4 linked regions of the Arabidopsis thaliana genome follow. The protein of the gene in region 2 interacts with the protein of the main gene of each other region in a pairwise test. Each region holds a gene or a part of one and is shown on either strand. Other genes may lie near its edges. The genes, in order: AT4G01920, AT1G22630, AT4G22250 and AT1G27030.

Region 1 (8,308 bases), on a different chromosome or scaffold from region 2:
CTCTTCGGCTTCTAACTAAACCAGGTCGTGACTGTGATTTATGTAAAAGGGAAATCAAAGGTCTAGGCTATCATTGTGAGACATGTGGATTTGACGTGGATTTATATTGTGCCATGTACCCACCGCCAGAGGTTATTGACATGTCCGAGACGCATCCCCACAAGCTCACCATCGTTAAGGAGCGGATCGAGTTCGATTGTGACGATAAATGTGGGAGGAATGTGAATTACATTTCCATGTGGATTGTGTATGGCACCCAACGGAGTTAAAACACCCTTTGGAGGTAAACCATCCTTACCATGCCTTACACCCTCTTAAGCTCTTAACTGCTAGATTTCCGGATTATTCTGATGGAAAATGTCGTCTTTGTGGAAGTAAGATTGATGATAGGTTGTTTTATCATTGTTCTTCTTGTAACTTCACCTTGGGTTTGTGTTGTGTTTTACGCCCACCACAACCGTCTCTTCTGAACTTGAAAGCTCATGATCACCAACTCACTCTTCTCCCAAGACTCGATTCTTTTACATGTAATGCTTGCGGGCTGAAGGGAGATCGAAGCCCTTACATATGTTTTCAATGTGGTTTCATGATCCATCAAGATTGTCTTGGCCCTCCACGCCTCATAAACATCAATCGGCATGATCACCGTGTTGTTCGCACTTCTGTTCTTGGTGTCGTGAACTCTGTATGTGGAGTATGTCGTCAGAAGGTGGACTGGACTTGTGGAGGTTTTTCTTGTCAGAGGTGCCCCGATTATGTCGCTCATTCGAAATGTGCTACCAGAGAAGATGTATGGAACGGAGAAGAACTCGAAGGAGTACCTGAAGAAATAGAAGATATAGAGCCATATGTGGTAATAGATGACAATACAATACAGCATTTCAGCCACAAAGAGCATTACCTAAGGCTCCACGATAATGGTCTTCTTTGTGACGACAACAAGCGGTGTAGGCCATGCACCCATCCCATCTGTCTCCAGTCCTTCTATGGTTGTATGGATTGTGACTTTATTCTCCACAAAAATTGCGCTGGATTTCTTAGAATGAAATGGCATGTGCTACACAATGAGCGTCTTACTTTAGTTACTACACGTGTAAAGACCACCGAGCTAGTTTACATACAATGTGTGTGCTCGGAAAATTTTTAGGGCTCATGCCAAAAAGCACATTAAGGCGTTGGAGCAGATCATATAAGGTTGTGCTCAATAATAGTGTATCTCGTCCATTTTGCAGCTGTTGTGAGTTGCGTTGCATTTTTCCTATCATCTTGAAGAGACTTGGAGCCTCACAAAAATACTGTTGCTCTCCTTATTGCGCTAATGCAATGAGTGTGAATTAAGATGTCTAGCGAGTGGGGTTTCCTTAAAGATTTCCTGTAACCATTTCTTTCACAAGTTCATTTCCATTATAAGTTGATTTCCTTAATGTATTATTTATCTAAGAATCTTGCAATTTTAGTTTGATACGATCTTGCTGTTTCAAATGCTTTCTGACATTCGTTTTCTACAAAATTTCACCTTGAAAATGAACAACACAATACTATCAGTCTTGCATTATCATGATTGTCAGCTTTTCGCTTCTTTCTCAACGTATTGTATAGTCTGTTTCAGGATCATTAGAAATAGTAAGAAAGTAAACCATTGTTGCAAGAAATCTTGGCAATGGCGTCTTCAAACAATTGTTGTTTCAGATTACTAACATAAAAACAGGGACTTCAGTTTTTATTAGGAACAGAGTTCCGATGTCTGAGAACCAGGACAGATGTTTTCTGCATAATTCATTTACAGTTAAAAACACATCTTGATTGATTCAACATGAAACCAAACACAGACTCCATTCATTATTATTCGCAGAATCTAGAGACCGAAATGAAAATGTTTTATCAACATGTACACACGTTTTAAGGCAAGCCAAGATTTGTGTCTTTCTTTTGAAAAGAAAAAAAAAAGAAATTAGATCTAAGAAACTTGCAATTTTAATTTGATATGATCAGCTGTTTCAAACAATTATGCCTTGTCTTTGGAATGAAGGATCTTTACTTACGCCGTTGTATTGAACATAATGCCAACTACTGGTTATTGCGCTATGTAATGCATATGAATCAAGATGTCCAGAGAGTGGGCTTTTCTTTTAGATTTCTTGTACCATTTCTTTTACATGTTCATTTCCATTATAATAAGTTGATTTCCTTCATGTATTATTTATCTATGAATGTTGCAATTTTGACTTTGACGATCTAGCTGTTTCAAACGTTAATATGAATATTAATTCCAAGATCTAGTGAATTAAAAAATAATTGAGATATCCAGCTCATAAAAAAATAGTTCAGAGTTTAAAAATGGATCCGAATCCAATGTTTTTAGATTTCTTTCATTTTCATTTTTTATATAAATAGTGCTAATTGATACGACTAAAGAATTAAAAATTGACTATTTTAAACTAGTGGTTCATTTTAATAAAATAATACTAATGATTGATATTGTAAAACTATTTTTCCGTTTACTTTTAAATAAGGTTTTGTGCTAACTCATCCATTTTGCAACTTTATTTTCTACCTCCAATAAATGCAGATTATTTTTATGAAGTCTAAAATAATACAAAATATGATCTTTATATATATATATATATTGTAAACGTTTTTACGGTTATATACATTAGATTTTTAAAATTTTGAAGGTAAAGTTAAATTCTTCTTCGCGAAAGTTTTAATTTAACATATTATTATCGATATTTTACAAAATTGTTGGTAACAAAAAAAAAGGCAAAAGAGGGTTATAATGCATATTATTTTATATTGTTAATGATTAATCTGTATTTGATGGAGGTAGAGGTTGAAGTTGCAAAAATGGATGAGGTATAGTGGTTTTTGCACAAAACCCTTAAAATACTTTAAAGATAATAATTTATTTTTTTGTATATCTAAGTTAAGTAATTGTAAATAAATATTAAACATTGTAACTAAAAATAAATAAATAAACATAATAAATAGAATGAATCATTTACTTGAGAGTTAGAAGATACATCAAAATGATAATCATAGAAAAAAACACCAAAACGATTGTTTATAAAATTAATTCAGTTGATGTAAATTATTAATTATTATAACTAACAAAATGCATGAAAAAACCGGCACGGTGCGGGTTTTGGGCCTAATTATTTTTTATTGTTAATGAAAGACCAATAAAACCAAAAGTCTAATAAAAAAATAATTTTGTAAGGGCATCGTTGAGGATTTGAGATTAACGCAGAGAAGACTTTTGAGAGAGAAAGGAGCTTAGCTTTGAGATTTCAGATCCAATCTTCTTTTTCATAAGAGCATCGTTGAAATTAAAGAGAGAAGACTTTTGAGAGAGAGAGAGAAACGTGAAAGAAACTTAGCTTTGAGATTTCATATCCAACTTCTTCTTCTTCAAAATCTCTTAGTAAACGACCATGGATTCTAAGGGAGTGTTAATGCCGTTGATCCACGAGCATCTTATGATGCCTTGGAAAAATCTGAAAAGAGGTCCTTGCTGTGGTTGCTGTGGACGCTTTGAAGCTATCAGTGATGGATACTACTGCAAAACCTGCGATTTTTTCGTCCGAAAAAATTGTGCTGACGAGCCCTCCGAATATATCAAGCATCCATCTCACCCCAAGCACACTCTTCAGCTGCTAAGACCTGAAAGACCTACTAATTTCTGCAATTTGTGTGGAAGGATGTGCCCAATATTCTATCGTTGTGATCTATGTGACTTCGACATGGATTTATACTGCTCAAAGTATCCACCACCAGAGGTTATTGACATTTCCAAGACGCATCACCACAGGCTTACCCTTCTCAAGAAGTGGATCAAGCAATGTATATGTGCTAAATGTTGCAAGATTATTGGTAATGAGTTTCCTTACAATTGTCATGAATGTGATTTATCCTTTCATGTGGATTGCGTATGGTATCCGCCCGAACTAGAACTCCGTTTAGAGGTAAACCATTCTTACCACTCTTTACACCCTCTTAAACTCTACGCAAAGGGTCAGTTACCGGATTATTCTGATGGGAAATGTCGTCTTTGCGCAAGAAAGATTGATGAAACATTTTTTTTCCATTGTTCTCCGTGTAACTTTACCTTGGACAAGGTTTGTGTTTTGCGCCCACCACAACAATCTCTTCTGAATTTGAAAGCTCATGATCACCAACTCACCCTTCTCCCAAAACTCGATTCTTTTACATGCAATGCTTGCGGGCTGAAGGGAGATCGTAGCCCTTACGTATGTTTTCAATGTGGTTTCATGATCCATCAAGACTGTCTTGGCCTTCCACGCCTCATCAACATTAACCGGCATGATCACCGTGTTTCTCGAACTTCTGTTCTTGGTGTTGTGAATTCTGTATGTGGAGTTTGTCGCAAAAAGGTGGACTGGTCTTATGGAGGTTTTTCTTGTCAGAGGTGTCATGGCTATGTTGTTCATTCAAAATGTGCTACTAGAAAAGATGTGTGGAATGGGAAAGAACTTGAAGGATTACCCGAAGAAACAGAAGATATAGAGCCATATGTGGTGATAGATGAAAACACAATACAACATTTTAGTCACAAAGAGCATTACCTAAGACTCAACGTTAATGGTGTTCTATGTGATGACAACAAGCGGTGCAAGGCATGCACCCATCCCATCTGTCTCCAGTCTTTCTACGGCTGTATGGATTGTAACTTCATTCTCCACCAAAACTGCGCTGGATTTCTTAGAATGAAATGGCATGTGCTACACAATGAACGTCTTACGTTGGTTACAAACAAGGATGAAGGCTTTAGGTGTTATGCTTGTGATAGATTGTCCAATGGTTTCAAGTACCAGCATGGGAATAAGGCATTCGATGTTCGGTGCATTTCAATTTCTGAGCCACATATCCATCCAAGTCATCCTAATCATCCCTTATATTACTTTCCATCAGACGAAGTACAATGGTGCACTGGTTGCAACATGGAGCAGGACTTTGTGCTTAGTTGCATTGAAGATAATTGTGGATTTTTATTATGCTTTGGATGCGCCACTTTACCACAAATGGTAAAGCATAGAGTTCATGATCATCCTCTCTCACTATGCTATGGCGAAAAGGCAAGTGGTAAATATTGGTGTGACATTTGTGAAAAAGAAACAAATCCACATACATGGTTCTATACGTGTAAAGATCATCAGGCTAGTTTGCATACAAAGTGTGTGCTTGGAGACCTTTCAAGTCTCATGCGAAGAAGCACAATAAAAATTGAGGGCACTTCATATGAGGTGGTGCTCAATAATAGTATATCTCGTCCATTTTGCAGCTGGTGTAAGATGCATTGTATTTTTCCTATCATCTTGAAGACACTTGGAGCCACGAATGAATACTCCTGCTCTCTTGAATGTGCAGAGTGTAGATATACAGACCGTTAAAGCCCAAAATGAAGCAAGATGTTTAGCGAGTCGAGGTTTTTCTTGTAATGTTATTTTTTTTCTTTCTTACGAGTTCATTTCCTTTATAAGTTGATTTCCTTAATGTATTAAATATCTAAGAATTTTCTGGCACCAAACTCCATATACAATGTGTGTGTTGTAACATATATCATATGAGGTGGTGCTCAATAATAGTTTATCTCGTCCATTTTGCATCTGGTGTGAGTTGCGTTGCATTTTTCCTATCATCTTGAAGATACTTGGACCCTCGGATGTTTAGCGAGTAGGCTTTTCTTTTAGATTTCTTGTACCATTTCTTTTACAAATTCATTTCCATTCTAAGAAGTTGATTTAATGGTACTTATGGCATGTATTAGTTATCTAAGAATCTTGGAATTTTAATTTGATATGATCAGCTGTTTCAAACGTGTTATGCCTTGTCTTTGGAATGAAGGATCTTACTTACGCCGTTGTATAGAACATTCTGCCATGCTACTGGTTATGGAGGTACCATTGAACGCTAATGTTTCAGATGGGATGCCATAGAAATTCACCCAACTGATCAAAGAGAACTTCTTAACTCAAGAATGTTGTGTCATCATCATTCCCACCAGTACTAAGATTGACATTTTTTGAAGAGCAAACTATAACCATGATAGACATTCAAGAAGATTCCCTAAGCATAATGTCAATGTGCATTCTGTTTCAGATCATTAGTAATAAAGTAAACCCTTGTTGCAAGAAGTCTTGGGCAATGGCGTCTTCAAAGCATACACATGACTGTTTCTTTCAGATCATCTGGTATTCAGAAACTACAATGCTTTGAAGACGCCATTGTAGCAAGTTCTGTGTGTAGACGAAGTAGCACGTTGTCGTCCACGTAACCAATCCCTTCACCAGAAAACAAAACAAAAAGAAACAGAGTATTCATGTGTATGTTTTTGTTTGAATATGTCTGTATAAACACTTATTACCTGGCCAAAGATCTCTATGTTTGCTTCTGGATATATAGTACCACAGATGGAAGAATCTGTTAAGCCAGGTTATGACAATCTTTAGACTGACTTCTGATAAAAAACAAAGAGATGGTTGTTGAAGCGCGCAGTTTACTTACTGCATTATGAAGATTTCGGCTAAAGGACAGGCGACACCAAGGAGAGTGGCAATGGTGAAGCCAATCCAAGTTTATCCAAAGAGAACCAAATAAATTCTGCTAAGGCAAATAGAATGTAAGCTTCTATGTTGTCTGAAACTCCAGCTTTGTAGATTTCAGAACTTAGCTCTAAGAACAACACCAGTGCTCTGTTTCATTCACCAAACCATATAGAGTTTCACTTCCACTGTCCCCAAAATAGTTATACTTCTACACAACAATACATACTCACAAGAGCGAAATTATGGTTTTGTCACAGGTTGCAACGTGGAGGCTTTATAGAGGTTCTATCATCCAAGAGGAGTTGTAGTAAACATACTGTACAGTAAAATAAGCCAAGCAAGAACGGGACCTGAAAAAACACACCTTACAAGATCAAAAACAGAATGTTTTTATGAAGGATTCTTAAAGTTGTGGATTTTAATCTTACCCAGATGTTTGTATGAAGAGGACCGATTTGAAAAGCTCCGTTTTGGTAAACAACGAGATCAACACGTGAGTCAGTGGAGACCATCGAGAAGAGGACCCACGAAGAAGCCTGAACCAAAAAGCGAGAGGTTTACTGGGACGATCCATGATTTTCCGGTGCCAGTTTTGCTCTGCCTCCTCTGGCTCAAGCAGACGATTTTTCAAACCGGTGACCGGTTTTGCCCATTTTGTTTTAATGGTCTTATGAGAGTCGTTGAAGGAGGAGATATCGCTAAGACTAACATCTTCCAACCAATATCATCCATACAAAAAAAAATGAAGGACCTGTTTAAATAAACAAACCGAATTGAACTGACTCTAACCGAAATGAAATTTCTCAAACCGAAACATAACCAAAACTAAACCGATATCTCAGAAGGTACATGAATGCCTTGGTATAAGAAAACGAGTGGGAGTTTTCTTATTGAGATTTTCTATCAATATTAATTCCAAAATTTAACGTACATCAAAAGTGAAGTTGAAAAAATAATGGGGGAGATGAAGCTCATAAATGGATCATGCCGATTGGTATACATCTAAAGAATTAAAAATTGACTATTTATTACAAGTGGTTAATGATGATTAGTTATATTGTCACTATCATAAAACTATATTCATTGTTAATGAAAGACCAAACAATTCAAAAGTTTAATATAATGATTAATATTACAAGAGCATCGTTGAGATTATCGAGAGAAGACTTTTGAGTTTTGAGAGAGAAAGAAACGTGAAAGGAGCATAGCTTTGCGATTTCAGATCCAACCTCTTATTCTTCCAAATCTCGTAGTATACGACCATGGATTCTAAGGGAGTGGTGTCACTACCGTTGATCCATAACCATCAAATGATGCCTTGGAATGACCTGAGGAAAGGTGATTGTTGTGGTCACTTTGAAGCTATCAGCGATGGCTACTATTGCAAAAGATGTGATTTTTTCGTCCACAAGACATGTGGTGACGGTGTCTCCGAATATATCGAGCATCCATCTCACCCCAATCACACTCTTGAGCTTTGTAGTAACTTACGTTTTCACTGTGATTTATGTGGAAGGCGCACCAATTACCTATCCTATTATTGTGAGATCTGTGGCTTTATCGTGGATCTACACTGTGCCATGTACCCACCGCCAGAGTTTATTGAAAATTCCGAGAGGCATCACCACAAGCTCACCCTTCTCAAGGAGCGGATCGCGGCGTTCGATTGTGATGCTAAATGTGGAAAGATTAGTGGTAATGAATTTGCTTACAAATGTCAAGAGTGTGATTTAACCTTCCATGTG
Region 2 (6,849 bases):
AAACTGGTCTAGAAAAGGTCACATCACTAATTATATTCACCCTAACCAAAGTTCCTAAAGATAAAAGGTATAACTAAGAAAGGGCATCAGAAAATCGAAACGGTCACCATGAATTTGTCATACATTAGAGGCCTGATAAGAAAGAATTCTTACCGTGTGCCTGCAAAATGTCGAGAACGTCTGGAGACTAAAGTAACACTGAAGTCTCTTCCATATATTGATAGTCTTATCTGAATGATGGGGAAAGTTAGTTAGAACCATTTTAACTCCTGGCATCAAACATAGGATTGAAGCCCTAAGACAATACCTGCTTAAAGTGCCCATGAACTAATGCCAGTGTCCAAATAGTGTTGTTGCACCTTGATCGAATAGGCTGCGTCAGATACGAATTCCATACGAATATGTTATCATAAGGCATCCCTTCCTCACCAGATGATAGAACATTCTTTTGCAAGCTTTGCATTATAGGGTAAGTGTAACTGTAGAAGAAATCTTTTGTCAAATCTACACTTGACAGAAGCTTCTTGTACCTGCAAATAAAGGAAAGATACAAAGAACTTTGTGAAATAATATATGGTGCAATAAGAATTTAAAAGTGGGAATAGCTAGCTTCACTCAAACTTCAGAAAGGGAAATCAAAATTCCTAGATACAGACCTTAGTTCAGTTTTGGAATTCGCAACATCAGATTGAATAGTTGCATGTGGAACACTGATCATTTGACTTTCATCAATAGCATATATCGCATGCCCGCATATACATCCAATCTGTCGCCGTTTTGTAACCAAAACTAAATAGTATGACTCCATAAACTTAGCACAACCTACAAGGCACAAATTTTACTCAACTTAGCTCACTACACAAGATCCAAAATATACAAACAAGACAAGCATTGCTTCCCCAAAGACTAACCAGCAATTCCATAGACTTTGGCCACAAAAGCCAATCCTCCCGTGGCACGATTGCCTTCAGCGATACGCTGAAGCAGACTCTTGATCTCTTGAGGCGAATATACAACAGGATCTTCACTAATATTAAGCTCAGATGGCTCTGAACGATCAATCTTCAACACTCTGAAGAATCTTTTATTCCTATCACTCCCTACTAGATAAAACCTCTGCACAAAGAAAATTATATGACAAGCAATTCAATCTAGGGTTCCCTTAACGATTCCAATCATTCCAACACACATTTTTCGCATTAGAGAGTGCCTAAGCGATGGTGAAATCAAATGAGAAACGTTTGATGCAATCTTCCTCATTAGTCTTTAGAATCAACAATTTCTGAATCGGTTTAAGCTTACCGCTCTGGTTTCGTAGAGTTTGAATTTCTCGAGGGCATACGAATCGGGATCGGACTCTGCATCGTTGGACGGTTGAATCTTGTTGGCGAAAGAAGAGAAAGTCGAAGTCGTTGAGTTTTCCGATTTCGCCATATTGGATCAATCTATCTATCTGGAGAAACGATCAAACACTCTGAAGCCGGCGATGGTTTCAGGCGATCATTTTGCGATCGGAAAAGTGTTCGGAAGATAAGGGGTGTTTTCGTACTTTTCTATTTTAGGATCGTGTTCATTGAATTAATTATCCTTTGTCCCTTTCTTTATCTTTTTGAACTAATATCTTACTCTTAAATTAAAATTGGATAAATTTATAAGAAAATATATTATTCTTAATTTATAAAATTTGATACATTGTAAAAAGAAAAATTAACATATTCAGAATTCAGATTTACATTTTGCATGCATAAAGTAATATTTACTTGAATGTATACTGTTTAGATATTTTGATTAAAAAATGATTGTTAAGCTCTTAATTGTTTATGCTTTTTACTGTTTTAAAATAAAGAATTAAATTGTGATTGATATTGTTTATTAGTTAGGTAAAAATTATAATTTAATTTGTTTCAATGGATATTTGTAGGGTCTTTTGGCTTCTTTCACTTATGTATTTTAAGTCAATAATCCTTGTCAACATATTCCCTCCACATGATCCGTTTCAATATCCACAAACCACAACCAAGCAAATTCTTTAGCTTTCTCACACCATCCATATTCACTATCACTTGTATGCATAGATATGCATATAGATGTACATAGATATCTTACTTCCTAGTTCTAATTTGAGTTACAAAAATGTTGAAATTTCCACTTTGTTGCAGTGAGTTATCTTTAGAACCGAAGATTCTAGCTTTTGAAAGTCAGCTTGTTTCGGGGCGACGCGATACAATCAAAGTTTCTGCGGGAAAAATCGGAAATTTCTCTCTTGGTTCGGTAAGATTTCACTATACATCCATATACAATATGATATGTTATCATCGTCAATGAAGAGTTTTGTTAATTCTTCAAAAGGTTTATATAAACAGATATTCAAAAGTTGTGAGACTTGTGGAGCCAAAGGAGCAATTGAATGTCCCGGTTGCAAGGTACTAATTTGATTTTCATTACTAGATACTATGTAATAAACTAATACCTTTAGTGTATGATCAATCTTTTCCAGACCATACCTATTCATTTTACTCTTTCTTACTCTATATTTATGCATATACTAGACAAAATTCTCTTGTTGTCTACAGGGAACAGGTAAAAATAAGAAGAACGGAAATATGTTTGAGAGGTGGAAGTAAGTAATAACTAACAATGTCACATGGTTCTCAAATATCAATCTAAAAATTTACAGTTCAATGAGTACTTAAGGAGAGTTAATTTGGGATTTTGAATATGTGCAGATGTTTTGATTGTCAAGGATTTGGTATGAAGAGTTGTCCTAAATGTGGCAAGGGAGGCTTGACGCCTGAACAGAGAGGGGAACGATAGACTTATACTATTTGTTTTTCCTACATAAGTTAATTTTGTGATACAAACATGTCTCTATTCCTATAACATTTCAGTCGTATAATTTGCATGTAAAAATAAAAATCATTAATAAATTATATTTTCGCTAGAATATTACAAAGCGTTTAGAAATGAGAAAGTGATATTAACAAAGTAAAAAAAAAAATGATATATTGTTAAGAACACATAAAATAGTCACACTTTCTGCTTACAAAACGGAAATGTAACTTTTAGTTGGCTTTTAACACGAAATATTAAGTTTTAGTTGCGCTTCGGACGTTATGTTTTTTTGAATCGTGTTTTCGCCATGTTCTTTTGTGCATAGGGAACCTTCGATTCCAATTCCATATCGATCAGTGTACCTCCGAAGAACCTTTCTTTGAACGTCGTAGTTCATGTTAGCCAATAGTCAGGAAGACTCAGAAGGTAGAAGTGTTGTACAACAATGTTTGGCATTTGGCGTAGCGTGATGAAATTAGAAGCTTGTTTGCGGTTAGCCATGTTGGGCTTTGCAAGTAATGGCCCATGACCAATACAATGCTATGAACAAAAGGCCCATCCGCTCATGACTCTTCTTATGTTTCTTTCTTAATTAAGCATAGATTACTAGCTTATGACAAAACATTGAAGATTGAACAGTAGTTAAATTACGTTGAATAGTAGTTAGATTGTACGGGGTTTTCTATATAAGAAAAAATGTTTACGATTGAGAAAGAAAAACAGAACTATAATAAACTTATGAAATTAAGCTTTAGATAGAATTACATCACTGTTGTAAAATTCAACTCCTCTTTAAATATTGAAAAGAATTCTGATAACTTCTGCAAAAGTGCAAAGGACTAAAATACGTATGGGGCGTGTGAGACAAAAACATTTAACATTTATACGATTCTATGCGACTAATTTATCTAATCGCCTGTTATAGCGACGTTATTCCAATTTCCAAGAAAAATCATCCCAATGTTGATTGATACCATTTAAGTACCTTACAAGTTACTAGTAAATTCATTTTAAAAATGTATTCTTTAATTGGACCGTCGTTACAATGTGAAATCCGAAAATAAAATATAAAAAAAAACTTAAGAGACACAACAGTAGAAGAAGGACCAAGTACACATGCCCAAACCCAATAATTCAGTTATCCAACTAATCTAAATAATATTCATGTTTTTATAATTGAAGAGACAAAGGAGAGAGGAATGTGATAAAATCATAAGAAAGGACACGTGGAGGTACGTGAAGGAAGTAGCGTGTGGAGAGAGTGATTGGAGAAGAGAGAGATGAAAAAAGACAGCTACCTACTCATCTTCCCAATCTATCTACCTACTTTCTCCCAGATCTACTTTTTTTTTGTTCTTTTTAACATTTTCCCAAAATTAGGTTTAAGTACTTTTTTTTGTTAATAATGCAGTAAACAATTGTTTAATTCAATAATGCAAAAAAAATTGGTTTAATTTTCCGCTAAACAAATTTATTGATATTAAAACGAGTTTACAAAATCGTTACAGAAACTAAGAAGTAAATTTGATGATGTTAAAAACACTTTATTCACTAACTGATTAGTGATTACTTAAACCGTTATTTAGTTATTTTCTCTTTTATAATCGATCTTTTTATACGAAAGTTACGCGTGACTATATTTTTTTATATGCAATAAGAATGGTTAAAAACAGTACATGTTGCAATGAATTGTGGAATTTGTAAAATGATTATGATATTTTTTTTGAGCAGATGAGATGATTCTAAAGAGCCAAAAAGTCAATAACCAAAACCGTACGATCTACATCTCAGAAAACAAAAAACAAAAAAAGTTAGGAAACTCCACCCACGTTCCTCCTGTGAGTGTACTACAATCAAATTTGTGTTTTCTGGTTGGTGTTACAATATTCTTTAGGCACAAAAAAACGAACACATCATTTCATTTGTTAGATACATTTTTATTTTTAACTTTGGTATTAAAATAATGTTAGGTAGTTATTATAAATAACATTCAAAACGAAAACACCATCCTACAGGAACTCTCTTCCTTGCAAAAAAAATAAAACACTATTTCCTCCAAATACACGTAGAGAGATACATATATACATATAGAGATCAACAAAGATGGGAAGATCACCATGCTGCGAGAAAGCTCACATGAACAAAGGAGCTTGGACTAAAGAAGAAGATCAGCTTCTTGTTGATTACATCCGTAAACACGGTGAAGGTTGCTGGCGATCTCTCCCTCGCGCCGCTGGTACTTATTCATACATCCTCTGTTTCTTTATATTTACAGAGAGGTAAAGATTTGATTTTTGATTGAACTTTGTGCAGGATTACAAAGATGTGGTAAGAGTTGTAGATTGAGATGGATGAATTATCTAAGACCAGATCTCAAAAGAGGCAATTTTACTGAAGAAGAAGATGAACTCATCATCAAGCTCCATAGCTTGCTCGGTAACAAGTTAGTCTCTTTCTCTCACACTTTTTTAAGAATATGATTATATTTGTGAAAGATTCTGAAACTTTGTGTTGTTGTTATAGATGGTCTTTAATAGCTGGGAGATTACCAGGAAGAACAGATAACGAGATCAAGAACTATTGGAACACTCATATCAAGAGGAAGCTTCTCAGCCGTGGGATTGATCCAAACTCTCACCGTCTGATCAACGAATCCGTCGTGTCTCCGTCGTCTCTTCAAAACGATGTCGTTGAGACTATACATCTTGATTTCTCTGGACCGGTTAAACCGGAACCGGTGCGTGAAGAGATTGGTATGGTTAATAATTGTGAGAGTAGTGGAACGACGTCGGAGAAGGATTATGGGAACGAGGAAGATTGGGTGTTGAATTTGGAACTCTCTGTTGGACCGAGTTATCGGTACGAGTCGACTCGGAAAGTGAGTGTTGTTGACTCGGCTGAGTCGACTCGACGGTGGGGTTCCGAGTTGTTTGGAGCTCATGAGAGTGATGCGGTGTGTTTGTGTTGTCGGATTGGGTTGTTTCGTAATGAGTCGTGTCGGAATTGTCGGGTTTCTGATGTTAGAACTCATTAGAGAGTCAATCGAGAATTCTTTAGGAATCTTTTTATATATTTAGATCGTCAATTGTGTTTTTTTTTTGTTCACATTTGTTATGTAACATCAAGTAAGAAACTAGCATAATTATTTGATGGCAAAGCCAAAAGATTGTGCTCAAAGAAATTTATAAAAACAACAATTAGGGCATGTTGTACTTGCAGATGCTAAAAAACGGTAATTTTTATAAATGTTATAATTTCATAATCTAGCAAACTAATTAATTTAATACTACATTTTATTTGTGATTAATCTTGTTATATGATATACGTCATATGTTTTAAGAGTTTTTTTTGGTTTCAAATTTCTATGTAGAATTAATGTTTTCATTTTTTAATTTACGTATGTCAATTAAATTCAGTGAAATGTAAATTTTAATGAAATTACCAAATTCAAGCGATGAAATCATGAAATCACATTTTTTTGCGTCACAAATAGTTTCTGAAAATATGTAATAATTCCAAGCCATGTAACTTAAAAATGTGGAGACAATATATAATTCGATGTCAAATTTCACCTATTTGAAGTGTTCCTATTAATTAGATTATACTATTGAATGAGTCATTTCAAGCAGATAATACGCAGAGCAACTTTGATGCAGACGTTAAAACCATACCTAAATGATGTTTGGTTTGGTGTCGTCACTTTTTGTATGTGCTTTTTAGTTCTTGCCTATTTTTTTGGCTATTCGCATGTCTTCTCTTCATTTTTTTTTGATTTTAACATACTAATCCACTTACATTTTGAATTTCAAATAACCTAACCTACAACCTTTACAAGTATTTTAGGAATTCAAAGAAAAATTTGAAAATGACATAACATAACTTTTTGTTTTGGTGAAACAGCTATTTAATTGATCACTTTGGTTCCATACAACTACTTCATTGATCACTTCAGTGGCATAGAAGATATCAACTGACAAGTAATGCCAATGAAGATATTAAATTTTGACCAGTTAAGTT
Region 3 (6,939 bases), on a different chromosome or scaffold from region 2:
AAACATTGAGCAGAGCATTAAGAGCTAGTCATTAGGTTTTGTATTCTTCAGAAGACAGTAAGATTGTGAACATCACTTGAGATGTGTGCAGAAGAAGAACAATGACGAAATAGTTGTGTTTGAGGAATATGTACTCTTTCTTATCTCATTAGAAGCATAGTTCAACTCTTAACAACAAAAGGCGATTCAGTCATCGAGATATTGGATTTGTTGAGAATCGAATCTTGTTTTTTTTAGTGTGTTTATCACTAATTATGGATCTGGATACCAAATGAAAAGTTGTTCCGAGGCTAGAACATAATGTTTGTTTCTTCTATATGCTCCTTGCAGCGTTTATGTCTGTGCTACATATGTATGAGACCTTTGGTTGGTGGAGGAGAGCAGATTATTTGAAAGTACACTTTGCTGAGAGCTGGAATGAAATGCATCACTTGCTCATAATGGAAGTAAGAACCAAAATGTTACTTCTCTACAAGTTTCATACTCTTTACTCACATAGTTAGTAATAGTAAAACAAATGTTTCTAATCACAGGAATTGGGTGGAAATTCTTGGTGGTTTGATCGTTTTCTGGCTCAGCACATAGCAACCTTCTACTACTTCATGACAGTGTTCTTGTATATCTTAAGCCCTAGAATGGCATGTAAGTTTCCTTTCCGCGTAACTTCTAGAAAGTAGCTGAATAAATTGCTTCTGGTCTACATGACTTCGTTAACCTTGTGTCACCTATGCAGATCACTTTTCGGAATGTGTGGAGAGTCATGCATATGAGACTTATGATAAATTTCTCAAGGCCAGTGGAGGTTGGTTACCAATGGTTTTTTCTTCTTTCTCCACCATTCTGTGTACCATTTACATTAGAACTAAAGTTGTTAATGGAGTTATTGCTTTGAAATATTACACAAAATTCTTCAACGATCTTTACATTCTGAATTGTTGTGCTTCATTTTTTTTTGGTTTCCCTAAACAGAGGAGTTGAAGAATATGCCTGCACCGGATATCGCAGTAAAATACTATACGGGAGGTGACTTGTACTTATTTGGTGAGTTTGTCTTTCCAGGAATTATCAATATCCTCCAGAGTTGTAGAGATGTTTTTACCTATGATTAGTAGTCTTTTAAACTGGCCCTGTATTGTCTGCAGATGAGTTCCAAACATCAAGAACTCCCAATACTCGAAGACCAGTAATAGGTAGCAAATCTATTTCATATCCGTTTAGTTCTTTCCATCTCTGATTCCGTCGAACCACAAAATGCTAAAAAAAAGTTTATGATTTATCCATGGTTATGATTCTGCGCTCTATAAATGACTGAGATTCTGTCTTATGTTTGTATGGAGGAAGCATTATTCACAGTTTGTGACTTACTTTGATGTTAAAATAAGAATCTATATAACGTTTTTGTTGTTTTGTGATTACGGTTGGGCAGAAAATCTATACGATGTGTTTGTGAACATAAGAGATGATGAAGCAGAACACTGCAAGACAATGAGAGCTTGTCAGACTCTAGGCAGTCTGCGTTCTCCACACTCCATTTTAGAAGATGATGATACTGAAGAAGAATCAGGGTGTGTTGTTCCTGAGGAGGCTCATTGCGAAGGTATTGTAGACTGCCTCAAGAAATCCATTACAAGTTAATAAATTAGAAAGTAAACTAAAAAAGATTATTTGTATCAGCTCATGAACAATAGATATAATCCCATATACTTGGGAATAAAGGAATAATGTGAAATTCCCATCGTTGTGCTAGTGTGTGAGAGAATCAAATACCCTAATGATGTAAATGTACTTTGATGAGCTTAAGTCGTTGTAGACCATTTTATCCATACTACTAGCCTTTGTGGTTGCATTGTCGGTTTCTTCAATTCTTATTTCACAGGAGTAAAAAAAATGTTTAAAAGTACAAAATCATTGAATGTATCATTCTCTCAAAAAGCATATTGGTATTAGCGTTTAGAATCTCTATATCCCACACTTTTATTTTTATTGGTTTTGTTGGGGAGAGTGTGGCGCAAAGACGACGTCGTCTATGCGAACATTTCACGTGGGAAAAGCCTTGATTCATGCGCCTTCTTTAATTTTTCTTCTTTTTTTTTTTTTTTTTTTGTCTCTTCTTTGCCTTTCACTTTTTAAAATGATTTTCCGCGGGTTTAATAACAAAAATGTTTTCCCGCCAGAAAGGTTTTACCAAAAAACCATGTTCCGGTTATAGCACAGGTAAGAGAATTCATCAGTCTAGTATAATTAGCAGTAATCAAATTCGAATACTTTGATCGTCGCTTTTATTTCAGAGTTAGCGTTACATTAATAGTACCTTTATTCGATTGATGATTTGTTTAATCTTTAATAGGGTTTGAACTCCGATGGAGGACCTTTTTTGTTGGTAATATTCCCTTCGTTTCACAATATAAGTTGTTTTAACTAAAAATACGTATATTAAGAATATTTATTTTTAAAATGTTCAACCAATTATAAAAAAAACTGTAGAATATAAATAATCATAAAGTATTAAAATAATATATAATTTGCATAGAAACTTGAAAACAACTTATATTATAAAACAAAAAATTTGGTATAAAACAACTTATATTATGAAACGGAGGGAGTATAAACTTAAGTACTAATTCGATTTTGTTTCTATTCGAGACCTTGAAGACTTTTTTATTTAATTTTAAAACTAAGTCGTACAGTTACAGAAACAGCATTAAATTTTTCCTCTTAAGTAAATTTATTTTTTCTCTTTCTATCAGAAATTCAGAAGAACTAACATTATAGTTGCCCCCATTGCGTACACTGTACATCATTTCTCGGTAAATTACACATAATTATAAGTTGATTAACCTTTTAAGTTTTAAACAATGATGTAAGTAACTTATTAAAAATTGGTTTTTAAAAATTGAAAGTTATATACTCAAGTTGGAAAAATATTTTACAAATATACTCGATTCCACTACTACTGTAATTTTGTGTGGAATACCAGTCAAACAGAATCGTTATAACTGTTAAAAATTAGTAAAACTGTATAAAGTAATTTTAATTCGCGGGAAATCAATATTCGGAAGCAACTTTAACAAAAAAAATAAAGAAATGTGAAGAGAAAAAAAAAACTCTGAAAACTTCCTTTATAATGTCATCATCACTGCGAGACCCAAAGATCTAAACAGTTTCTCTCTCTCCCTCACAGGGCTCTCTCATGGCGGAGCTAATCTGTCTATTTCACTGGTGATTCTGTTTCACTATCTGAGAATTTGTTTAGAGTTTCCGTTACCGAGTCGATGATGAGTGAACTCGATCTCGGAACGAGTCAGAGGATGACGGAAACACACCGCACGACGACGACGTTTCTTGATTTGCTCCGACGACAGATGAGCGGTCACGATCTCACCAGAAGGAAACGGACGTTAAAAGAACGGTTGAGATTCAAATGCATCGGATGCTGTGGTCCAACCTGGAATCTCCGTCTAACTAACAACACCACTCTTCACAGTCCAACCTCAAGAGACGACGAAATCGAAGAGTTACAAATTGAAACCGGACTCGTTCTCGAATCGGATCATGGATCGGGTACGGGTATGAATCTCGCGACAGCGTTAGAAGCGGAGAGGTATAACCGTGGAGAATCGACGGAGGCGGAGGCAGATATGACGCCGAGGAGAGTTTCGTTGATGAGATTGTTGGAAGAGACGGCGGAGAAAATCGTTGATGACGACGGGAAAGAAACGGAGATATTAACGGCGTCTATTGGGACGTTAACGGGTAATGATTCGGTGTGTTGCGTGTGTATGGGAAGAAAGAAAGGCGCTGCGTTTATTCCATGTGGTCATACTTTTTGCAGAGTGTGCTCTAGAGAATTGTGGCTGAACCGTGGATCGTGTCCTCTTTGTAACCGTCCGATCATTGAGATACTCGATATTTTCTGAAAACGATCGGACGGCTAAAAGTTCTCGATCCACGTGAGTAAGTGAGGTGATCCCTAGATACGTTTCCAAAGTTTTAACTACGGTTTGTGTACTTTGTACGTTTCTTTTGGTTATTGAAGAAGATGATGTAAATGCAAAAAAGAATACAAGAGGTTTTTTGTTCACGAGGCCCATTTAGTCTATTCAAGCCCAGTAAACCGTTATTTTGGATTTTATCTAGCCTAAACAATGCTCGCCTCACACCGTCGAGTGGATTCTTGGCCGTTGATCTTGTCTCTCACGTGGCAGTATCGTAGTCGAATGTACATGATCTATGTGGAATAGTCGATATTATCCCTCTTGGTGTGAGTTTGGTAGTTGATGAAAGCAAAACATTTACGTAACAATGTCTATAAAATCAGTACAGGTCTATTCTTGTTCACTAGCTTCGAAATTTTAGTCGAAGAAACAAAAAAAAATGGCGACGGTACAATTGTCCACCCAATTTAGCTGCCAAACCAGAGTTTCAATCTCACCGAACTCTAAATCTATCTCCAAGCCTCCGTTTCTGGTACCGGTGACCTCAATTATTCACCGCCCGATGATCTCCACCGGAGGAATCGCTGTTTCCCCCCGTAGAGTTTTCAAAGTCCGAGCCACAGATACGGGAGAGATAGGATCAGCTCTATTGGCGGCGGAGGAAGCAATTGAAGACGTGGAAGAGACGGAGCGGCTAAAGAGATCGCTCGTGGATTCGTTGTACGGAACAGATCGAGGTTTAAGCGCATCGAGCGAAACCAGAGCTGAAATCGGAGATCTAATCACACAGCTCGAGTCTAAGAACCCTACTCCAGCTCCGACGGAAGCTCTTTTCCTTCTCAACGGCAAATGGATCCTCGCGTAAGTTTTTTTCCGGTGAAAACTTTCTCTTGTAGTCCTGTAGATAGCATCATTCGTAGGATTCTGGATTCAAATGGTAGATCTCGTGCTGCTTTTGATTTGGTTAAACCTCTTTTGCAGCTACACATCGTTCGTGAATTTGTTCCCGTTGCTATCACGAGGAATCGTACCGTTAATAAAAGTCGATGAGATCTCTCAAACCATTGATTCAGATAACTTCACCGTCCAGAACTCTGTTCGTTTCGCTGGTCCTTTAGGTACAAACTCGATTAGCACCAACGCTAAATTCGAAATCCGAAGCCCTAAACGCGTCCAGGTAAATTGACCATTCATCGACCATGATCTGATATCAACATCTTGAAACGTTTTCAGTAATGTTTTGGATTTCATTTTTCTTGCAGATTAAGTTTGAGCAAGGCGTAATTGGGACGCCTCAGCTAACGGATTCTATTGAGATACCGGAATATGTAGAGGTTCTTGGTCAAAAGATTGATCTTAACCCGATCAGAGGGTTACTTACCTCGGTGCAAGACACAGCCTCGTCTGTGGCTAGAACCATATCAAGCCAACCACCGTTGAAATTCTCTTTGCCGGCGGACAATGCGCAGTCTTGGCTACTCACGACTTATCTAGACAAAGACATTCGGATCTCTAGAGGAGACGGTGGAAGTGTCTTTGTGCTTATCAAAGAAGGAAGCCCTCTCTTGAATCCTTGAACTTGGTCAAAATATATGTCTCTCTCTTGTCGTTGTGTTAAGTGAGACAAATATATAGTGTGGTTGTAGGTTTACTTCTTAATCGTTGTTATTAACTCGATGATAAGGAATATAATGTTTTTAACTACTACAGAACATCTCGTCTATGGCCTATGAAATGTGTCTCAGATTTTCACAAAATTCAAGTGTTTTAGAATTTCATTCTCTTCTGTTTGATTTAGAAAGTAAACTATGTACCGATGCAAGAGTTACATGAGAATTATCCCGGCAACGTCGGGTCTTTCGATAAGAATCGAGATGATGACTGTCATTTTGTTGTCTAATTGGTTCACTCTGTGCTTGATGCCTATCATTTTTTTTTTGAGGGACTCAGTCACTGGAAATGGTTCTATTAGTATGGTATGGGATACTTGTTAGTATAGTACTCGAGGTTTCTAGCATATGCCATAGAGTTTCTCAATATCTGAAGCCCTATTTTGAATGTGTTTGTTCTTTCTGTAATTTATTTAGAGACCATCAGGTAAAGGAAAAACTCAATTCAGACAAGAACATAAGAAACCTAAATTGACCAAATTTCTCATATAACTGAAAGTTTGAAACTGTGTTTTGTTATGTACAGTTTGGTGGAGGGTTTGATGCGGAGAGCATGAATCAGAGCCAAAACTGAAAGTGGAGGAGACAATAATAATGATAACAATGAAGAATAATCTGTAAACTGAGTTTTATTACTTTCTTTTTCTTCTATGTCTCTCTTTATCATTGTAGCACATATTTGCTATATAGGATTTGAATGGTTGCAACGGTTAAGGCGGACAAATTCGTTTGCGGTTTGAACTGTTTTTTATTTATCATTCATATTTGTATAGGTGCGAATTTAAAAAAGAAAAAAAAAACCACTGCAGATTAACTACGGACTGTTTTTACATACAAATATAATTAGTTCGTAACGGTTTATTGCCCATTTTAAAAATAGAGCGGACTAAATCGCTGACGTATTTGTCCGCTCTAACTACCGTTAGTAATAATATAGTTTGTTGTCAAAAATACATTCTTTTGTTTAGGTTTGCAGATGATTTTTTTTATTTTCTATTACTATATTTTAGTCTTTTAGATGATAAATTCGCAATAAATTTGTAATCTGCCAAACTACTGAAAAAAGAGAAAATAATTGTGGTTTGTCTTAAAAGTCACTTGTTTTAAGACATATCATGTGCAGCCATGCAAAGTGTATCTCCCGAATCTTCTTCACTCATTAATGTTTTACAGTATTTTTATAAATTTTATCATGTTAAGTACAAAATAAAAATAAGAATGGTCCATTAGAATTACAGCATATAACAACAAGGACTAGTTCTCTTTTGTAATTTTGTAATTTTATGCAAACGTATAAAAGAAAAATAATCGTGTTTTATTTTTGGAAAGGAATT
Region 4 (8,116 bases), 1.4 Mb from region 2:
TAGAGAATTTTCTTTTTCATTTAAAACCTCTCTTCTTAATGTTATCTTCTTTTGAGTCCTTGTTCTCATTAACTTTGTTTTTCTTAAGCAAATTATAAATTATTTTTTCTTTTATTATAAAACGACGTCTATTATATTCTATAAGGAAGCCAAACCAACACAAGTCTAAGAATGTTTTGTTTGTACGCAGAAAAATGTTAGACTACAGTTTTATTATTCATAATTCATAGTACTAAAGTAATTTTTTGAAGAATGATTTTCTTTAATAAGGTATCATCAACATATACTACCAAAAATATTTAATTTATCCCACTAATTTTGAAGGCATCACGATTAATAATACGTGCTTAAAATCTTAATTCCGTAATAATGCTACACTTTTGAGAAATTTGTTAAGTTTATGATAGTTTGTATGATAGCCATCTTTTGACTGATCTAGTCGGACATAACCAAACACCCATTTACTGTTATTATCATCTGGAAACCCAATGAGAAGATAAGAGTTTTATGAAGCACACAAGTGAGAAACAAAAATAAGGAACATATTTGGTTGGATCTATCATTAAACCAAAGATAGATAAGAGGGAAACGAAACTGGAGTAATAATCAAAATACAATCTACCATGTAGATAGGGAAAATACTCGGTGGTTTTAGTTGAAAAATGTAAATAGTTGAAAGTTATCAAAATTTTCTAATATTTAAACACCAAAGTTGACCAAGATGGCAAAAAGGCAAGAAACAAGAAAATGAAAGACAACTATCGTTATGATACAAATTTGACCAAAATGAAGATATGATAATGTTTCCAAAATTCTCGATGCAAGTAGTTCGCTCAATTATTTGATAAGAATGATTTCCCCACTAGCTCAATAAAAAACAATTAATCCTTGTACGCAAGTTATCATAGTGAAGCATTGACACTGTGACCCTTGGCATTATAAATTACGAATTTAAGATAAAGAAGAGAAGAATCAAGCAAAAGTTGTGTTTCTCATAAAGATCTCAAAGATATTCCTACTACACATGGGTTCTCTTGACTTGCCTTACGCTTCATCGTTCAAGGTTTTTTTCTCAGTTTATATTTATAAAAATCAAATGAATTACTCATCACTATAACACACTAATTATGTTGTTATCAGGGAGGAAGTGAAACCTTTCTCCAGAATGTATTTGAAAGTATACTGAAAACGTATTTGAGGAAGAACCCGATGGCGAAGACGATATGGGAACTAGTTAAGTCGGTGGACAACGAAAAGATCTCTTACGACCACTTCTTTTTCAGGACATTTAAGGTATGAATTTACTCTTCAAAAATTTGGTGAAATTGTGTGCAGGAGGATCTAAAACCTTAACAAATTGGTCAAATATATTGATTAGCAAGTTCTTTGCAAATACGATTATAGTAAATCTACCTATTTAACAATTAAAAAAGTGGTTTTATACTTTTAATTGATGCCTTTGCAAATATATACTTTTCTTCAAGCTCATCTTGTAATCCTTGAGATCTTCTAACATTAACGGCATCAATTAAAAGTATAAGCGCTAAATGGTTTTAATTTTATACTTTTATGTCAGCAATTTTTGAGACCTGTTTTTTCTATTTTACCAGTGTATTTGTTAGTGGGCTCAAATTTTTTAATTTTTCTTTAGGCCCGAAATACTTGGGGCCGGCCTGATTGTATAAATTGATTTTTTCTTTTTTGCTTTGGGGGTGTATGGGTTTAGGTCGATGGTTATGGAATTGATTCCCTGGCGAGTTTTTTCATGGATTATGGATATAAAGTTGGAGGCAGACTTGATTTTCCAAAGAAGAAAGTACAAGTTCTCTGGCTTTCTCCTCCGGATGTTCACTTCCCCGATAATGGTTACGGTATTGGCAATGGCCCTTTGCCAAGACTTGTTATAGCTGAGCTTCTTGTGGAGGAACTAAGCCCTGAGTCACAGGTATTAGTGATCACAAACATAATGTTGTTATAATGAGTCTTTAATAATACATAATAACTTTTTTGTTGGTCCTAATTTCTGGTTAACTAGGAGATAATAAGGAAGTATTTGAAACCGGAAGGTGGTAAGCAAGCTGTTCTTTCAAGTACTTTGGGGTCTTTAATTTGGGAGAAGCCAACATCCACCGATTTCAATCAACTTGCCAAGTATATGTTCTAAGTTTATAATCAATAATCACACAGTATCTTTGATGGTTAGCTAATTTAATTTTTGAGTTTTGTAAATTTTTATAAATGATGAAGAGAAAGCGAATTTGCCGCATGGACGCTTGTCTACGGCTACACAATGAACCATCTTGCTTTCGCGGTTCATCGTCTTAAACACCGTTTCAGCGACATCAAATGCGTCAAAGAGTATTTTGAAGAAAACGGTTTCGAACTCAACAAGGATGGAGGAGTCCTCAAAGGTTTTCTTTACTTATTCTTCACATGACATCTTTCATTTAGATTGGTTCTATTCTATAACCATTATTTAAGTTGTATGGAAAAATATTTCAGTGAGTGAAGACAGTCTACTGTTACAAGTGTCGGCTATGTCGGAGAAACTTGTGGTTGAATTTGCAGACGGAGTAACTCAAATCGTCCCGGCTTCATACATTGAGTTCGTTGAACGTCTAGTTCTTCCACAGTTCAAAGATATGCCGTGTGATGAGGTAAGAAGCAATTCACATTAATCGAATTCTTTTATAATTAGACATTTTTATATATTTCCGTTGTAATGCAGATCAAAGAGTTTCATAGACGCGAGGGCTTGGAGCAAGCTAGCGCCTACCACATAATGGAAAGCACCCGTTTCACAGCGTAAATATAGAACCAGCTTGTTTTGTTCCGCTCAATATGTCAAGTATGTGTACGTACTATTAAAATGTTTTGTATCTTATTTGGACAATTTGTGTGTGAGATATTTCTGTTCTTGTGTTGTGAAGTGACGGTATAACTTAATATTACCCGTTACCGACGAATAATGGAAAACAAAGTGTCATGGTGGGGTGTGGTATTTGTGGTGTTTTTGCATGTAATATCTTTTGATAGTAACGTGACACTTGATTTTGGTGACTCGTAACACCTCTTGGGGTTGAAGACCAACGTGCCCAATCTTTCATTTACCTTAGTGTCTTCTTCTTTTTGCATTATTGGATTTTGGTGTTTCACGTAGAGAAACTGACATCACATTGTCTTTTGTTAGTTTTTTTTTGTGTTGTTAACCTTAAGTGTTTTTACGTAGTTAATATATCTTAGAGAACTTAACCTTTTCATTTAGCTATTATTCGTTTATAATTATAGTTTGGATCTAAATTAGTCTAACAGTTGTATTATGTGTTTTAGACCATCGCATTCCTCGATCTTAACCAAATATCTTAACAATTATTTACAATAAAATTTTGAAACATGACATGTAACTGTTTTTTCACTCATAAAAACCTCTTAGCTAAGAAGCAAGTCTTTAATTTTTAATTTGTTTTGATTTATTTTTCAGAATTTAATTTTAAGATATTAGTCTAAGATACATTTAAGATACATCATTGAAGATGGTCTACTAATTAGTAGCTTAGCAATTTCCAAAGTTGGTTTAAGGATCAACTTTTTGTATCATTTTATATTAGTGATCAAAATAGTTACATACCAAAAATTATTTATTTCATTTAATATAGTTTTTACCCCCCACTAGCTCTGGAAAAGTCCAATTATATTCTTGTCGTTAGCAATCATTGATCCTTGGCTTTTTTTCCCACTCTTTCTAGCTGTATAAAATACGAATTTACGATAAGATATTAGAAAAACCAAACAAAGCTGTGTTTCTCTCGTACACTTAAAGCATCGTCCCGCAACGGTTCTCTTGACTTGCCAAACGTTTCATAATTAAATTTTTTCTCTAATTATGATTTACAAAAACAAAAATCACGATAATCCATGATCTAACTATAAGAGGGAGTAAGAGAAACATTTCACTTGGTTTTTCTTACTGAGTACTGATATAAATAAATATAGAATCAGACAAAGATTCGTTTGCTGAACGATTTTATATAAATTTAGTCCTTACCTGCGCAGCTAATCATCGTGAGCGGAGCGACTATGCGTCAAGAAAAAAAAACTAAAATACTAATAATTAAGTGACTCCTTCTCTCTCCTTTTTTTTGGGGTATGCACCAACCTTTATTTATAAGTATAAGCAAGAATAAATAAGAACAACAAAGCAAACGGCTCATTTCTCAGAAACAACTCAAACATGGGTTCCTTCGACTTGCCTCACAGTTCATCGTTCAAGGTTCTTTCTCAAATTTATATTTTTTTTGAAGGAGAAATATCTTTTGTTACGATAATACACAATCTGCATCTAACAGGGAGAAAGTGAAATATTTCTTCGGAATGTGTTCGAGAATATATTGAAAACGTACCTAAGGAAGAACCCGACGGCGAAGACAATATGGGAACTGGTTCAGTCGTTGGACAACGAAAAGATCTGCTACGACCACTTCACTTTCAGGACACTAAAGGTAATAATTTTACTCTTCAAGATTTGGTGAAACTAATTGTTTAAATTATTATTTTGTTTTTACTTTTTTTTCTTTGGGGTTATGAGTTTAGGTCGATGGTTATGGAATAGACTCCTTGTCGAGTTTTTTCATGGCTTATGGATATAAAATTGGTGGTGGACTTGATTTTCCCAAGAAGAAACTACGAGTTCTTTGGTTTTCTCCACCTGATGTTCACGTTCCTAATGATGGTCACGGTCTAGGCAACGGCCCTTTGCCGCGACTTGTTATAGCTGAGGTTCTTGTGGACGAACTAAGCCCTGAATCACAGGTATATATGTTGATCGCAGACACAAAAATTTCATTATGAGTTTTTAACATATCTAATTTCGCTTTTGTTGGTCCTATATATTGATTAGGGGATAATAAGGAAGTATTTGAAACAAGAAGGTGGCAAGCAAGCGGTTCTTTCTAGTACTTTGGGGTCTTTAATATGGGAGAAGCCTACATGGACCGACTTCAAGCAGCTTGCCAAGTATATATATTAACTTTCAATTAATAGTCATATATCTTTACTTGATAAATTTCAGAAAAGTAATTCATTCTATCAAAATCTAACAGCTAGCTAATTGTAAATACATTAATTTATTTTAAATAAATAAAAATGAATACTCTTACACGAACTATACTGTATTACTCTACTAGTACATATTTAGTAACTAACTATTTATTAAATAAGATTTTGGGTGATAGGTTCGATGGTATTAAGGACAAGTTTTGATGAACAAGTACAAAAAAATGGTAGTTTCTAACAAAGCTTTGAGAAATTGATAGATCAGCACTTAAACAGAAAAAAAAATGATAGATGAACACTATTTTTTTCTGAAATGTTTATAAAAAAAGAAGAAGAAGTAAGAATTGAGTTTTGTTTTTGTTTTTAAATTTTTTTATTTTATAACTATTTTAATGGTTAGAGCTAATTATTTGGAATTGTATGTATGAATGATGCAGAGAAAGCGAATTTGCGGCATGGACGCTTATCCACGGCTACACAATGAATCATCTTGCTTTTGCGGTTCATCGATTCAAACATCGTTTCAGTGACATCAAATTCGTCAAACAGCGTCTTGAGGAAAAGGGATTCAAACTCAACAGTGACGGAGAAATCCTCAAAGGTTTTTTAATACTTATATTCCCATCATGAGTTACTTTCTTGAAACGTTTCTATTTAAATATGTTGTTCAATAGAAATGATTAATGAATGTGGACATACATATTGCAGTGAGTCAAGATGGTCTACTATTTCAAGTTTCATCGATCTCGGAAAGGCTTCCGGTAACATTTGCAGATGGAGTAACTGAAACAATCCCAGCTTCATACATTGAATTCACTCAGCGTCAAGTTCTTCCAGAGTTCAAAGATGTGCCGCTTGATGAGGTAATTGATGTAAGAAAGAATCGCGAAATAAATGATTTGCATTTTTTCGCATTATTTTGTTTATTCAGAATTTTTTTCATTGCCATGCACTGTGATGCAGATCAAAGAATTTCATAGACGTGAAGCTTTTGAACTCGATAACGCCAACCACGTAATGGAAAGCACCCGTTTCACAACTAAATTCTAGAACCAGACTTGTCTTGCTCGACTTAGTATATGCCAAATTTGTGCAACTATATATGTGAGTGTGTGTTTGTGTGCAATCTTTCCATATATATGCATGTGTGTATTTGCGATATCTTTATGTTGTTATTTTACTGTGAAGGGACAATGTAAGCATATGTTATCTCTCATGATGGTAATTGTTGATTAGAGTGACCAACTTGTAAAATGGATCACATGATTGACGAATCATGGGAAATAAAATGTATTTTGTGATTGAAATATGTGATATTTGTGAAGTTTTCGTCTCTCTCTTAAAATAATTTTTATGGGTGTGATTGAGTGTATGTTTGCTATAAATAGGGGATTTACTTGGACAATTTTAAAACATTAACCCATATTTGTTAGTATACAAGTTTTTAGTATCTTGTAGAGATATGGTATAACTGTTTTTTTTGCAGCTATAAGATGCACTAGATTTTAACTCGCGGTACACCGTGGGGACAATTTATTTTTTAAAGTTAGTATATATAAAAATTTATAAATTGTATCTATCTATAAAATATTTTTATTTTATAGTTTACAACTGTTATTAAGTAACGTCCTGCCAAACCCGTCCCGCAAAACCCATCCTGCAAAAAAAACTATTTATTTTATTAATGTTGATCTTATTTATGAATCATTGTCTAAATATTTTAGTCGATGCGGGATGTTGAACCCACACATTTTTCGCCAATTGGTTAATATATGTTCATTTTTAAAATTTTGAATCACAAAATATGACGGAATTTTTTTTGAGATTTTTTAAACTATATATTATATAATGATGTTAAATTTTTTGATATATTAAACTTTTTATAAGTTTAAATATTAATAATGTTTTATAAAGTTTAAATATATAAATAATAATATTTAAAAAAATATATATTTTTTGCCTTTTAGGTAATGACATAATAACTCTAAAAGCAAATATTTAGAAGATTTAAATCGTTAATTAAATATTTTTATTTCTAAATAATTAATGTCAATAGCATGACATTGTAAATAAGTTCAAATACAAGATTTATTTATTTAAACAAAAAACGTTTAATAAGAATAATATTTATTTAAACAAAAAATTTTGTTTTAAAATATTGTTAACAAATACGTTTATGCTAATTTTAAGGGATTAATGTGAAGTTTGTTTGGATTAAATTTGATTGATAATGTGATTGACAATTTAAATTAAGAATTTAAAGTAAAATTAATTATATTGGAAAACAATTAATGCTAATGGCATTGGGTTGTAAATAAGTCCAACTCTAAGATTTATTTGTTAAAATGGCTGCAAAAATGTATATATAGATGTTATATTATATCACCTTACTTTTGCTGAATATCTTAATTCTACATTCTTTATATTCCACATTTTTTTTTTACAGAAAATGTAAAGTTATAATTAGACATCTTTTACAATGAATTTTGTTTTACAATGAATGTTTCATATTGAGCTTAGTGTTCTTAGGAGAAAATTTTAAAAATCAACCACAAAACAAATTAGACGTTGAGACGAGATTACGGATTCCTATGACGCCGATATGGTATTTGCGCTCTTCCAAAATCGACATCTTTTTAATCTCCCTTTTCTATTGTTTGTTTACTCACGAATATTATTGTTTTCAATGTCGACGTGTACAAATCCAAAATCACCTCTGCTCTCGCTTAATATGCCAAGTTTCACCTACCGTTTATTATGACGTGTTTCTTGTATAAAGGCAAAAAATGTAATCTAAAGATATTGAGAAACAAGTTGTATTAGTTTCCTTAAAAAAAAAAAAAAAAAAAAAGAGTTATATTGGTTACCGACTGTTTCTCAGTTAGATTGATTCGTTCCGTTCCAATATATATTTTTTTAAAATTCGGGTGGTAGTATAATACTTTGGTTAATTGATGTTAAGTTTACAAGATTCCAGAAAACCGAGTTAGGTTAGGTGAAAACCAAGACCTCGTGTATCATGTTTTTTGTTTTTGTTTGTTTGTTAATAAATTCACAAAAAAAG

The links.
Region 1: the proteins of AT1G22630 (region 2) and AT4G01920 interact in a two-hybrid assay, tested with the Arabidopsis thaliana proteins (one large-scale study listed by BioGRID).
Region 3: the proteins of AT1G22630 (region 2) and AT4G22250 interact in a two-hybrid assay, tested with the Arabidopsis thaliana proteins (one large-scale study listed by BioGRID).
Region 4: the proteins of AT1G22630 (region 2) and AT1G27030 interact in a two-hybrid assay, tested with the Arabidopsis thaliana proteins (one large-scale study listed by BioGRID).

Annotation. Positions count from the first base shown.
Region 1 is NC_003075.7:826,203-834,510, reverse strand, and holds AT4G01920 (Cysteine/Histidine-rich C1 domain family protein), read left to right. Parts: upstream 1-3,222; 5' UTR 3,223-3,431; coding exon 3,432-5,408; 3' UTR 5,409-5,685; downstream 5,686-8,308. Other genes in the region: AT4G01925 (Cysteine/Histidine-rich C1 domain family protein), read left to right, coding at 209-945, 1,233-1,338; AT4G01915 (uncharacterized protein), read right to left, coding at 6,214-6,299, 6,383-6,438, 6,881-6,913, 6,992-7,137; AT4G01910 (Cysteine/Histidine-rich C1 domain family protein), read left to right, coding at 7,826-8,308.
Region 2 is NC_003070.9:8,001,354-8,008,202, forward strand, and holds AT1G22630 (SSUH2-like protein), read left to right. Parts: upstream 1-1,869; 5' UTR 1,870-2,133; coding exon 2,134-2,271; intron 2,272-2,363; coding exon 2,364-2,423; intron 2,424-2,573; coding exon 2,574-2,620; intron 2,621-2,726; coding exon 2,727-2,814; 3' UTR 2,815-2,951; downstream 2,952-6,849. Other genes in the region: ATSAC1 (Phosphoinositide phosphatase family protein), read right to left, coding at 154-230, 308-530, 657-822, 912-1,116, 1,303-1,434; MYB3 (myb domain protein 3), read left to right, coding at 4,936-5,068, 5,146-5,275, 5,356-5,866.
Region 3 is NC_003075.7:11,764,663-11,771,601, reverse strand, and holds AT4G22250 (RING/U-box superfamily protein), read left to right. Parts: upstream 1-3,038; 5' UTR 3,039-3,272; coding exon 3,273-3,917; 3' UTR 3,918-4,147; downstream 4,148-6,939. Other genes in the region: IM (Alternative oxidase family protein), read left to right, coding at 331-446, 534-642, 734-802, 970-1,041, 1,143-1,190, 1,427-1,635; AT4G22240 (Plastid-lipid associated protein PAP / fibrillin family protein), read left to right, coding at 4,375-4,796, 4,917-5,112, 5,198-5,512.
Region 4 is NC_003070.9:9,377,611-9,385,726, forward strand, and holds AT1G27030 (uncharacterized protein), read left to right. Parts: upstream 1-3,916; 5' UTR 3,917-4,231; coding exon 4,232-4,270; intron 4,271-4,346; coding exon 4,347-4,499; intron 4,500-4,590; coding exon 4,591-4,809; intron 4,810-4,897; coding exon 4,898-5,013; intron 5,014-5,489; coding exon 5,490-5,653; intron 5,654-5,760; coding exon 5,761-5,915; intron 5,916-6,015; coding exon 6,016-6,102; 3' UTR 6,103-6,450; downstream 6,451-8,116. Other genes in the region: AT1G27020 (plant/protein), read left to right, coding at 1,025-1,063, 1,141-1,293, 1,727-1,945, 2,036-2,151, 2,248-2,411, 2,503-2,657, 2,729-2,809.